Linked DNA regions of Mus musculus: region 1 is reported to be linked to region 2. Evidence: microRNA targets listed by miRTarBase, many of them from high-throughput screens and not tested one by one. Region 2 holds a microRNA gene; the other region holds the end of a gene's coding sequence.
The links. Region 2 holds the annotated microRNA mmu-miR-742-3p (GAAAGCCACCAUGCUGGGUAAA, at 2,268-2,289, opposite strand). A microRNA usually pairs through its seed, bases 2 to 8, with sites in the 3' UTR of a target mRNA and lowers its output. Matches are read on the target gene's strand: a 7mer-m8 pairs with bases 2 to 8, a 7mer-A1 pairs with bases 2 to 7 and ends in A, and an 8mer does both.

Region 1 (5,062 bases), not on the chromosome of region 2:
CACTTACAGAAGGTTCTCCTAAGCACTCAGAGACCTGCGAACACAGAGCCATGACTAACATGGCCAGCCCCACCCACTGTCACAGCCAGGGTAGACAGTACTGCTCTCTGCAACAGGCTCCAGAACTTTCCATCATGAAAGCCCAACTCCTCACGCCTCAGGTTTCATCTTCTGTCTCAACCCACCTTCCTTTCTTCAACTATGGACAAGCTCAGAACTCTCTATGTGTGCCTATGTGTGTGTGAGAGACAGGGAGACAGACAGAGACACAGAGAGAGACAGAGAGAGAGATGTTTACCACAGTTGTCTTCAACTTGCACTTGCTCCTCAACCTCTGGGGATGGGTGTGTCCAGTCACATGATTTCCAAGACACTGAATCACACAGTCCCTTCCTCTCCTAATGGACCTCTTGGCAGCTGGAATAGAATGGGACATTTGCTTCTTGAAATACCTCCCCTGGCTGTGACATGCAGCTCACACTCCACACACACACACACACTCCACACACACACTCCTCACACATACTCCTCACACACACTCCACACACACACACACACACACACACACACACACACATACACAGGTTGTCTCTCTCTCCTTCACTTTCTCCCCAGTTCATCCTACCCACTCCTGAGAGGGTGGACCCTTTCAAATGCTCATGATTCAGCTGGAACTGAATATATAGCTGAATTTATAGCTCAGGGCTCAAGACCACTGGCTGCTCCTCCATGGCACCTGAGTTCAGTTCCCAGCACCCACAGCAGGTACTCCTAGCTCCAGGAGATCTGACACCTTGGGCCTTCATGAGCACAACACTCACACACACACACACACATCTACATAGAACTCAGAGATAGTAAGCTTTTGAAACACTCATGATTTTCAATATTGAACCTCTGGCTGCCCTGAAGCCCAGACTTCGTATCCAGCTGCTTGCTGGCCATCATCTGAACTTCACAATGACGGCTGAGGAACACTCTCTACTCCCTTTCATGTTGGGGACCTGCACCCTGGCCAGTCCCTCTGGACTATAAAACCCTCCATAGCCACTAGTGAAATTTCAGCTTCCTTAATCTTCCAACTCTTCGTCCTAATACTCTCTTCTCACACAGACCTCCTCTCTAACTGCTCCCTGCAAAGAAGCCTCTAAACTGGACCCAACCAAGTCCTGGCTTTTTGTTAAAGTACCTTATTCCTGATCATTCCCCTCCCCTCCCCTCCCCTCCCCTCCCCTCCCCTCCCCTCCCCTCCCCTCCCCTCCCCTCCCCTCCCATGCTTGGAGTATCATGCCTTTAAAGAGACAACAGAAGCCAAAGCATACCAGAAACAAATCCTTTATTTTATTCTATAGAAAGGAGGAGAACACATTTTGCAGGTGACTTGTTTAGAGGGCTTGAGGACATAAACAATTTAAATAGCACCTTTTCAGGCCTGTCATTCAAAGACAGCAGGAACAAAGCCCCTTTGTAAGTCTGCTATAGTGTACTTAATGGTACATTGATTGCTTTTTTTTTTCTTCCACAAAAATGACACATCTACGAAGGAACGGGAGGCACCACAAATATTCTTACAAATGTCTACTGTGTGGTGAATCTCTGAGGTTCTCTATACACATCAATAACCATGATAGATGCAACGTACTAAATGTCGTCGATCAATCAGGACACGCAGTGAACACTGGCATCTAACACGGCCCTGCGTAGCATTGTTTGTAACTCTGGCTGCTGAGCGATTACGGTCCCAAGCATTCAACAAAGGTTATTTTTGTGTCTCGACTTCTGATTTAGCTGTAAGATGTAAAAATTCTACAGGCAGGCGATGTGCTGGGTCATGAGAAATGGCTTAAAAGTAAAAATGACCTATCAGGTAATTCTATACATAAATCCTTGGTGCTAAATCCTTAGGATAAAAATATCTACTGGCAAAGAAATCCTTACTTAAAGGGAAAAAGAATACCAAAGAGGGAGGGATGTGCCCTGAAGAATCCAGGCTCAAAATTAAGGTTTTTTGTTTTGTTTTGTTTTTTCTTTTTTTTTAAGATATCAATTCTCAGTTGGTGTTCAAATAGAGCCTGCCATTTGCTATGTATAAAACATAACACGTGGTTCTTTTAAAACTGTTTTTTTTTCTTTGCTTTTTCCTAAGATGTTTAGTTTTCATTGACTGTCTTAGTAATCTGCCAGTGTTCCCAATTTCTCAGCGCCTGTCCAGCATGCTCCTACCCACCCCACATCTAGCCTCAACCAATAGACAAAATGCAAGGTCAGAAGTAAGCTGAAGACATTGTATTCATGATGAGACTTCTGTAGCTCCAAAAGGGAAACATAGTTAACCACATATCTAGAAATACCAGCAGGATCCTGGAGGGAGGGGGGAGGGGGAGGGGAAGGAGGAGGGGGAAAGAGGGCACAGGTCATAACAGAGAAAAAAGATTGAACATTCTTCATTCCTCAGATGCGCTAGCTTTTGTCCTACCAAATGAAACTTCCTCTGTTCTCTGGTTGGTAACATTTCAGGAGCAGAGATGGGAGGGGTGGACTGAGGAATTCCCTGAGCGGCACTGGTGTAGCAACCAGGTCCCCCCGGGGTATCCCTGCAAGGTCAAGAAGGTAAGTACCATGATAGCAATGGTCACAATGGTGGCATTCATCATTGCCGTGTCAGCAATGATGCTACAGCCATCTGCAGGACACCCAGAAGCCATTATGGTCCCTTTCATGCACTTGACTGTCCTCAGTTCAGTTTCTAGCTGAACCACAGAATCAGTTTTCATAGTCTGTGTTCCACCAGAAACCAGAAGTAGTGGGCCACACACCAATCCTGGTGCTTATTAATTTGGGAAAAGGATGATAAACACTACTGCATGAATTTGGACATGAGTCAGAAGTAAGCTACATAGGAATATACATTGTTAAAAAGTAATCACATAGGTATTGCTGATGGAGTGGCTTTAAAGGCTATAAGGGCTTAGGAGCCTTATAAGTAAGGTTAATGAAGTACAGATTGAAAAAAAGGAAAGGATTCTAACATACAACCTTAGGAACTTGAGAGCAAATCATGTGCAAAGACATTTATATAACAAAATCATCATCTTACTTTAAACATTAACACACAGTACTCTTTTTTTATATATATTAACGCTGAATTGTTAAATTAGGACATAATAAAAGGTGTCACTGGAAAACGAGGGTTGCTTTAAAGCATGTTGTTCAGATTTCATTCTTTTAAAACCCAGAGAAATTGCTGATCTCCATGCTGTCCTCTCACAAGGGGCCATGCTGATGCTGCCAGGACGGAGGCAGTCTAGCCTGAGCCAGAGCCAGAAGCGAGTTACTATGTAACACCCAGGGAACAGCAGGAGTAACAGGCCAGCTCCAGATGCAGCTCACATTACCAGACCCCCCCACGCCCACTGCTGACACAGAAGAGACCTGTCAACCTAGCATCCTAATTTCCGGTGACACTCTGTCCACTCTATTGGGGGCGGAGGGCTTTGGGGAGGCTGGCAGGGAGCAGAGCCTTCACCAGATGGCCTTGAGTCTGTTTTGGGGGTGCAACCAGCAGAATAGGGGAAAAAGCAACCGTGATTGTATAGTTGGGGGTATTCATATTGAGTTTTAGGTTTTACCAATCAGCCTCAGTATTTCATTCCTACTGAGTGCCTGGGAACCAATTTCCATCAACAATAGAGCCATTTAAAGCCATGGTTCTCAACCTTCCTTAGGCAGTGGTCCTTTAATACAGTAGTTCCTTCATGCTGAGGTGACCTACAACCATAAAACTATTTCCTTGCTACTTCATAACTGTAATTTTTCTACAATTACGAATTGCAATGTAAGTACCTAATATGTAGGATTCCTGACATAGGACCAACTGCCACTCCTAGGGGGTCTCGACCCACAGGTTGAGAACCATTGGTTTAAAGGCTCATTCCTTTGGCAATATCCATGTTTAAAGATTCAATGTTTATGTGGGATGATAGCCAGTCATATTCTTGTATTGGCGTCCCTGTTACAATGGAGAAAACAGAAAAGGACTTTAGGTACCATTTATTTCCTCTGACAGTCAAAAAGCTCTTGATTTACAGCCCACGGTGGGCTAAAATAGGCACAATAATTGCCGTGTTACAATTACGACATCTATGAAAACAAGCGATTTTTCCCAGTTTCCCTTATGAGTCTACCGATACAGAAAATATCCTATTTCCACAAGGACTGGGAAGTGTCCATTTCACACAGCATACACGAGCAGCTGGACCACAGCTCAACAGACAGGGTGAATCTCTTGTATCCGTGTGTCCCAGACTCTGTTCTATAATTCTTCTCTTGGGTCCTTCTGTGTCTCCTGCGTGGCTTGGTCTTCCTCACTGGGTGCCAGCCACGTGAGGTACACCTTTACCGGGTCAATGTGCCAGTGTTTGTGAAATGATACTGGAATCTGATGGGCGAGGTAGTCCTTGGGGTAATCTACTGGCCGAGCCTGCTCAAAAAAAAAAAAAAAAAAAAAAGCAAAAAACAAACAAAAAAAACCACCGAGTTAGGATTTCCCAGGTTACGGTTTTCTGATTAAGAATGATCGGCTCATTCCTCCTGCAGATGGGGACAGAGACAACTGCACAAGGCAGAAGGACCACCAAATCTCTACCTCGGGGCTCAAAGAGTCTGCAGAAAGGGGATAGAGAGATTCTAGGAGACTGTGGGAACCGAAGACAACATGGAAACAAAGCCTTCTATACCCAGCAGGACTGACGCACTTAGATGAACTCATGGAGCATGCGCAGGGCCTGCACACGTCTAAGCTGGATGGGGTCCCAGCGCTGAGAGAGGAAGTAGACACAAGGTCCTATCCCTAGCCCAGAAGTTATCTTCAACTGATAACTGCTCAAAAAGGAAGAATTAGTTTCCTCTAAAGGAGTCTTTCTGGGTATGCAAGGGCAGGTTCTATGTTCATCAGTAGATGGCCAACACAAAATGAACTCATTGCTATTTTTAGATGGCTCTGTGTGTGTGTGTGTGTGTGTGTGTGTGTGTGTGTGTGTGTAGGGGGTTGTTTTGTTTTGCT
Region 2 (5,074 bases):
GAGTGGCTGAAGGGAAGAAACGAAAGGGGAGAATTATAAAATATTTTAATTTAAAAAGCACTTAAAAATTAAAATGAAACTAAACTTATTTTCCATAGTGCTATGTCCCTAATTTTAAATATTTTCACCTATGAGAAATAGGAATTAGATGAAAGGTTCCCCCTATATCTTCACCTAAACAATGTCCTGTGAAGGTAGCTACAATCGATCTTAGAATCAGAAAATACTCTTGCATGTGCATCTATGTTCTTACATTTACAATGACAGTACTTTATGAGTATCCTTATATTGAGAGAGATACCCCAAACTGTTTAAACTGTTTAAACCCTTTTCTTAAAGAGACTTCCTCCACTGCCAGAGATCTTGAATAGCCTCCTGGTCAGTCATCCGGAAACAATTCTTCACATAATTAATGAACTTGGCTTCCACTTTGGGAAGAGAACCGCCTTTTTCTATACTTGCTTGCATTTTTGCCTTAATGTCTTCTACAGAACTAGGTCCTTTTGGTGTTTTAGGAGTCTTTTCCTGTTTTTTGAAGGACTCTTGACCCTTTGATCTCGGTGTTGACGGTTTTAAGTCTTTTCCATTTTGGTTTGATTTTTGTGCATTTTTGGCTGGGGTATCTCGTACAGATTTCTTCACTGGGACCTTTTCTTCAGTTTCCTCTTCATCAAAATCATCATCATCATCATCCTCATCATCCTCATCATCGTCCTCATCATCTTCATCAAGTTTTACTTTTTTCTGTATCCTTATATTGAGAGAGGTTAGTAGAAAGTGACTGGTATCTGTCCTATATCACAATGCACACACCAAAATGAATGGAGACATATCATCTCATCTGACTCTTGCATTACCAAGAAGTTTCAGGAGTCCTTAACTCAAGTTCTTAGGGAATATATATACTCTCCTTCACTTTCTATCTCTACCACTTCTGGATCAGAGAGATAAAAGTCCTTTAACTTTATTTAATTACTGGGAAGGAAATTATTTTTTTTTTCTTTAGATTATCTTCTTTCTTTACATTCTCTATTTTGAAAGTACCCATGAGGTGAAACATGGATAGTCTACACTATGTTGAAAAAGTAAGGATATGGGGCAACAAAGACTCAAACCGTTTCTGTGTTTAGTCTTTCATTAACACAGTGTACCTCATTTTCTTTTTATGAAAGCATAATTCTTAATTTTAGCACCTTGTTCTCCTTTTCCTTACCTAACATAGATGCTTGAATGCTGTCCCATGAAAGTGATTAAAAAGATACACACAATTGTATAGTAAGGCTTTGTGATCATCCTGAAAACCATTATCAGTGATCTTACATGGAAAGCACTAATACTACCTAGAACCTATCAAAAATAACTGAATTAAAGAGCAGTACTTTACCTGGAAGATTTGTCGGTAGTCCAACTGTCTAACAGCTTCTTGAGTGAGATATAACATAAAGCATGAAGATATGGAGGTATCATCCATGTAGGCTAATCATCCCAAGCAGTTTTCATCACTTCACCAATTACAGCATGACATATTAACATTGATTTATTTATTTTCAACTGTTTGGGAATACAAAATATACTTTGTCACCTTGCATGATAAAGGAAGACCTCTTGACCTATAGCCAGATAGCCAGTGTGACTTTAAGATTAATCAGTGATATACTTTGCAAATGACTTTTAAAAACTAGGTAATGAAAATCTTCTAAAAGAATCAGAATATTGGGAGCATAGGATGAGAATACAACACAATTGTACCTGTATATCGCTGTTCAATTACTGGAGAAAGTTACAGAATACAGAAGATAGGAACTTGGTCTATTTAAATTCAAATCACTGATACCATCATAATTTCAGTGACTTGAATTTAAATCTGTTTGGTTCTTTTTCACTTAGGGCCATATTTATAAAGGAAGACTCTAATTACTTGTAGCTTTTCAGTCCACTTTCGTGCACTCATCATCTAAGTTGTCACAAGATATTTGAATTGATATTCAGTTGGGCCTGAAATCATTGATTGGTTTTATTTCTGATATTTATATTCATGATCCCTATTGAGACTGGCATGCAATTTTCTGTTCTTATAATTTGTATAATTTGGGTTCTGTGCAAGCTAGAATAATGCTAACTTCCACAACATTTAAACTTAAAAAAAAAATGAGAGCATAGTTTCTTCAGGTACAAGGAAGCAGATTCTGGAGCCATAATAAGGATGTATAGTTTCTTCATCTTTACTACCCAAGGCCACAACAAATGAAGAACATGATGAGCTTTACTTTACCCAGCATGGTGGCTTTCACCTACACTTCACGTGATTAGCAACCATGTGAGTAGAGCACTGCCCAGGTACTCTAGAACCAGCCCATCTGAAGTCTTTATTTCAACATGTGAAATAAAATTGAATAGAACATTGAAGTAAGTCGTCAACAATAATTACTTTTTTTTTTTAACCACACATTCTTCTTCGAAGCTGTCTTCTCATGTTCCACCATTAGGATTTTTCTTAGTATACTTCTAAAGTTCTACAACCGTTCTCTTCTCTATGGTTATAGATCTGAAGATATCATGAAGATGGATGAAGTATAATCCAGAATCAGTACATTTATCTTCTCTATGAAGGCATAATATGACCATATGGCTACCATCCCTGCGTTTGTTGAGCCTTACAATACTGAGAGCTGTTGCAGTTACTTATAGAATAAAGTAACTGCTACTTCTCTCAGCATTATAGTGCACACGAATTATTATTATTATCAGCTGACTTCAAAAACAACTTTCATGATTCTTCTCAGTATGACATGAATGCAATGTTATTTCTTTACACATAATTCCTCAGGAAGTATAATCATATTTTCCATTATCTTCCATCTCCATTTCAAGGTATCAGACTTGCTTCTTTCTTGATACTCCTCGAATCTGTATGAATTCAAGAGGTTAAGAATTAACAAGTCATAGCCGGGCGTGAATCCCATCACTCGGAAGGCAGAGGCAGGCGGATTTCTGAGTTCGTTTAAGGCCAGCCTGGTCAACAGAGAAACCCTGTCTCAAAAAAACAAAACAAAACAAAACAAAAATAGAATTAACAAGACAAATATTCTTATAAATATATAGGTCAGGTGACACCAAAGAATAACAAATGAACAAGGCAAGACCTCAAGATACCTGCAATGATTTAGTCATCAGCATCAAGAGAATATATCAAATGAAGGCTTCAGTATGTATTAATCTGTACTTTGAGATAGCATAGACTGATCCTTTGTACTTCATCTCAACAACAACAATTTCATCCAACAGCTTTTATCACAATCTTCACAATTAAACACACCCCCACTAAACTGTGTCTGTAAATGTTTGATTTCACACTTAAGCTGATGATATTGAAAATCCAATTGATTTTGCATGTACATTTCACATAAAAACCTGTCACTACCCTAACTTAAAGAGAAATGATGATCACAACAAAACATATTCTTTTATCAAACTTAATTATAATTATGACCAAAGTGAATATGAAATTGTAAAGGATTAATAAAAATATAATTTAAAAAATGTGGATTTTAGGTCAAAAGTTTTATGGGTGGGTTCGTGTCCTTATCTTTCACAGGAGGTCCTGCCTGTTTATAGGAGGTGGCCTCTTCAGGTTCCATGTCCACATTGTTAGGCATCTCAGCTAAGGTCACACACAATGGCTCCTGGGAGCCTTCCCTATCCTAGGTCTCAGGGTCTGCTTAGAGATTACCTCCACCCGTAAGTCCCCTGCAAGATAGAGATTTCCATTCATTCTCCTGGGCCTATGGGCCTCTTTCTTTTCCCTTCCCACACCTGATCCTGCAAACATATCCCCCTCACATACCCACATTGCTCCCTCTGCCTCCCATGACAGTTCTGTTACCCTTTTTAAGTGTGATTCAAGCATCTTCAATTGGGCCTTCCTTCTTGTTTAACTTCTTAGGGTCTGTGGGCGTATGTCATGGGTATAAGTATGTACATACCATGCATGTTCTTTTCTGTCTGGGTTATCTCACTCAGGATATTTTCTAGTTCCATCCATTTGACTGCAAAACTCAGGATGTCCTCCCTCTTAATAGCTGAGTAGTATTCCACTGTGTAAATGAAATACATTTTCTCTATCTATTCTTCAGGTGAAGAATATCTGGGTTGCAGTATTGCTGAATCTTCAGGTAGAACTATTTACAATTTTTTTGAAAAAACACCAGATTGATTTCCAGAATGGGTCTTCAAGATTGCAATCCCACCAGCAATGGAGGAATGTTCTTCTTTCTTCTCCACATCCTTGCCAGCATCTGCTGTTGCATCAGTTTTTTATCTTAGCTATGCTGATTTGTGTAAGATGGAATCTCAAAATTTGTCCTGTCTAAAAGAAATGCAGGGACAAAGATAGATCAGAGACTGAAGGAATGGCCAACCAATAACTCGTCCAAAGTGAGATCCATCAAATGAAAAAACACCAATCTCTGACATTATTAATGATACTCTGTTATGCTTGCAAACTCTGTTATGCCTTGAGAAGTTCCAACCAGAAGCTAAGTGAATAGATGTAGAGTCCCACAACCAAACATTGAACAGAGGTTTCAGACGACTTATGGACAAGTTGGGGAAAGGACTGAAGGGCCTGAAGGCAACAGGAACACCATAGGAAAACCAAATATGTCTACTAACCTGGACCACTGGAAGCTACTGGAGACTTTTTCACCAACCAATGAGCATACATCGGTTGGACAAAGACCCCTGGCACATATGTAGCAGAGGTCAGCCTTGTCCTGCCTCTGTAGGAGAGGATTATCCTAATTATGCAGACTTGATGAGCCTGGATGAGGGGCAATGGAAGAGGGACTGTAAGGGAGGCAACATGAGATATAAATAAAAAACATGATAAGACCAAATTTAAGTATTATTTATCTATAAATCAATCTTTGTAGAGACTGTGCTAGAAGCAAAACTTCACCTTGTGTGAGGAGCCGCCCTCACATTTGCCATTATAAGATGGCACTGACAGCTGTGTTCTAAGTGGTAAACATAGTCTGCACACATGCAGGGGCAGTTTTCCCACCATGTGTTCTGC

Region 1: the mRNA of B3glct is a reported target of mmu-miR-742-3p. Seed matches in the 3' UTR shown: 8mer at 3,698-3,705.

What each region holds. Positions count from the first base shown.
Region 1 is chr5:149,758,857-149,763,918 of GRCm38, reverse strand. B3glct (beta-3-glucosyltransferase) reads right to left here. Exons shown (of 15, transcript NM_001081204.2): 15 at 1,320-4,480. The coding sequence ends at 4,313. All of the region lies in intron 1 of Gm36141 (predicted gene, 36141), which reads left to right. It overlaps Gm38587 (a long non-coding RNA gene), which reads right to left and starts at 737. Exons shown (of 3, transcript XR_001785033.1): 1 at 299-737.
Region 2 is chrX:66,778,109-66,783,182 of GRCm38, forward strand. It overlaps Mir742 (microRNA 742), which reads right to left and starts at 2,329; the gene lies at 2,265-2,329. Mir883a (microRNA 883a) reads right to left here and starts at 2,725; the gene lies at 2,650-2,725. It also overlaps the pseudogene Gm14681.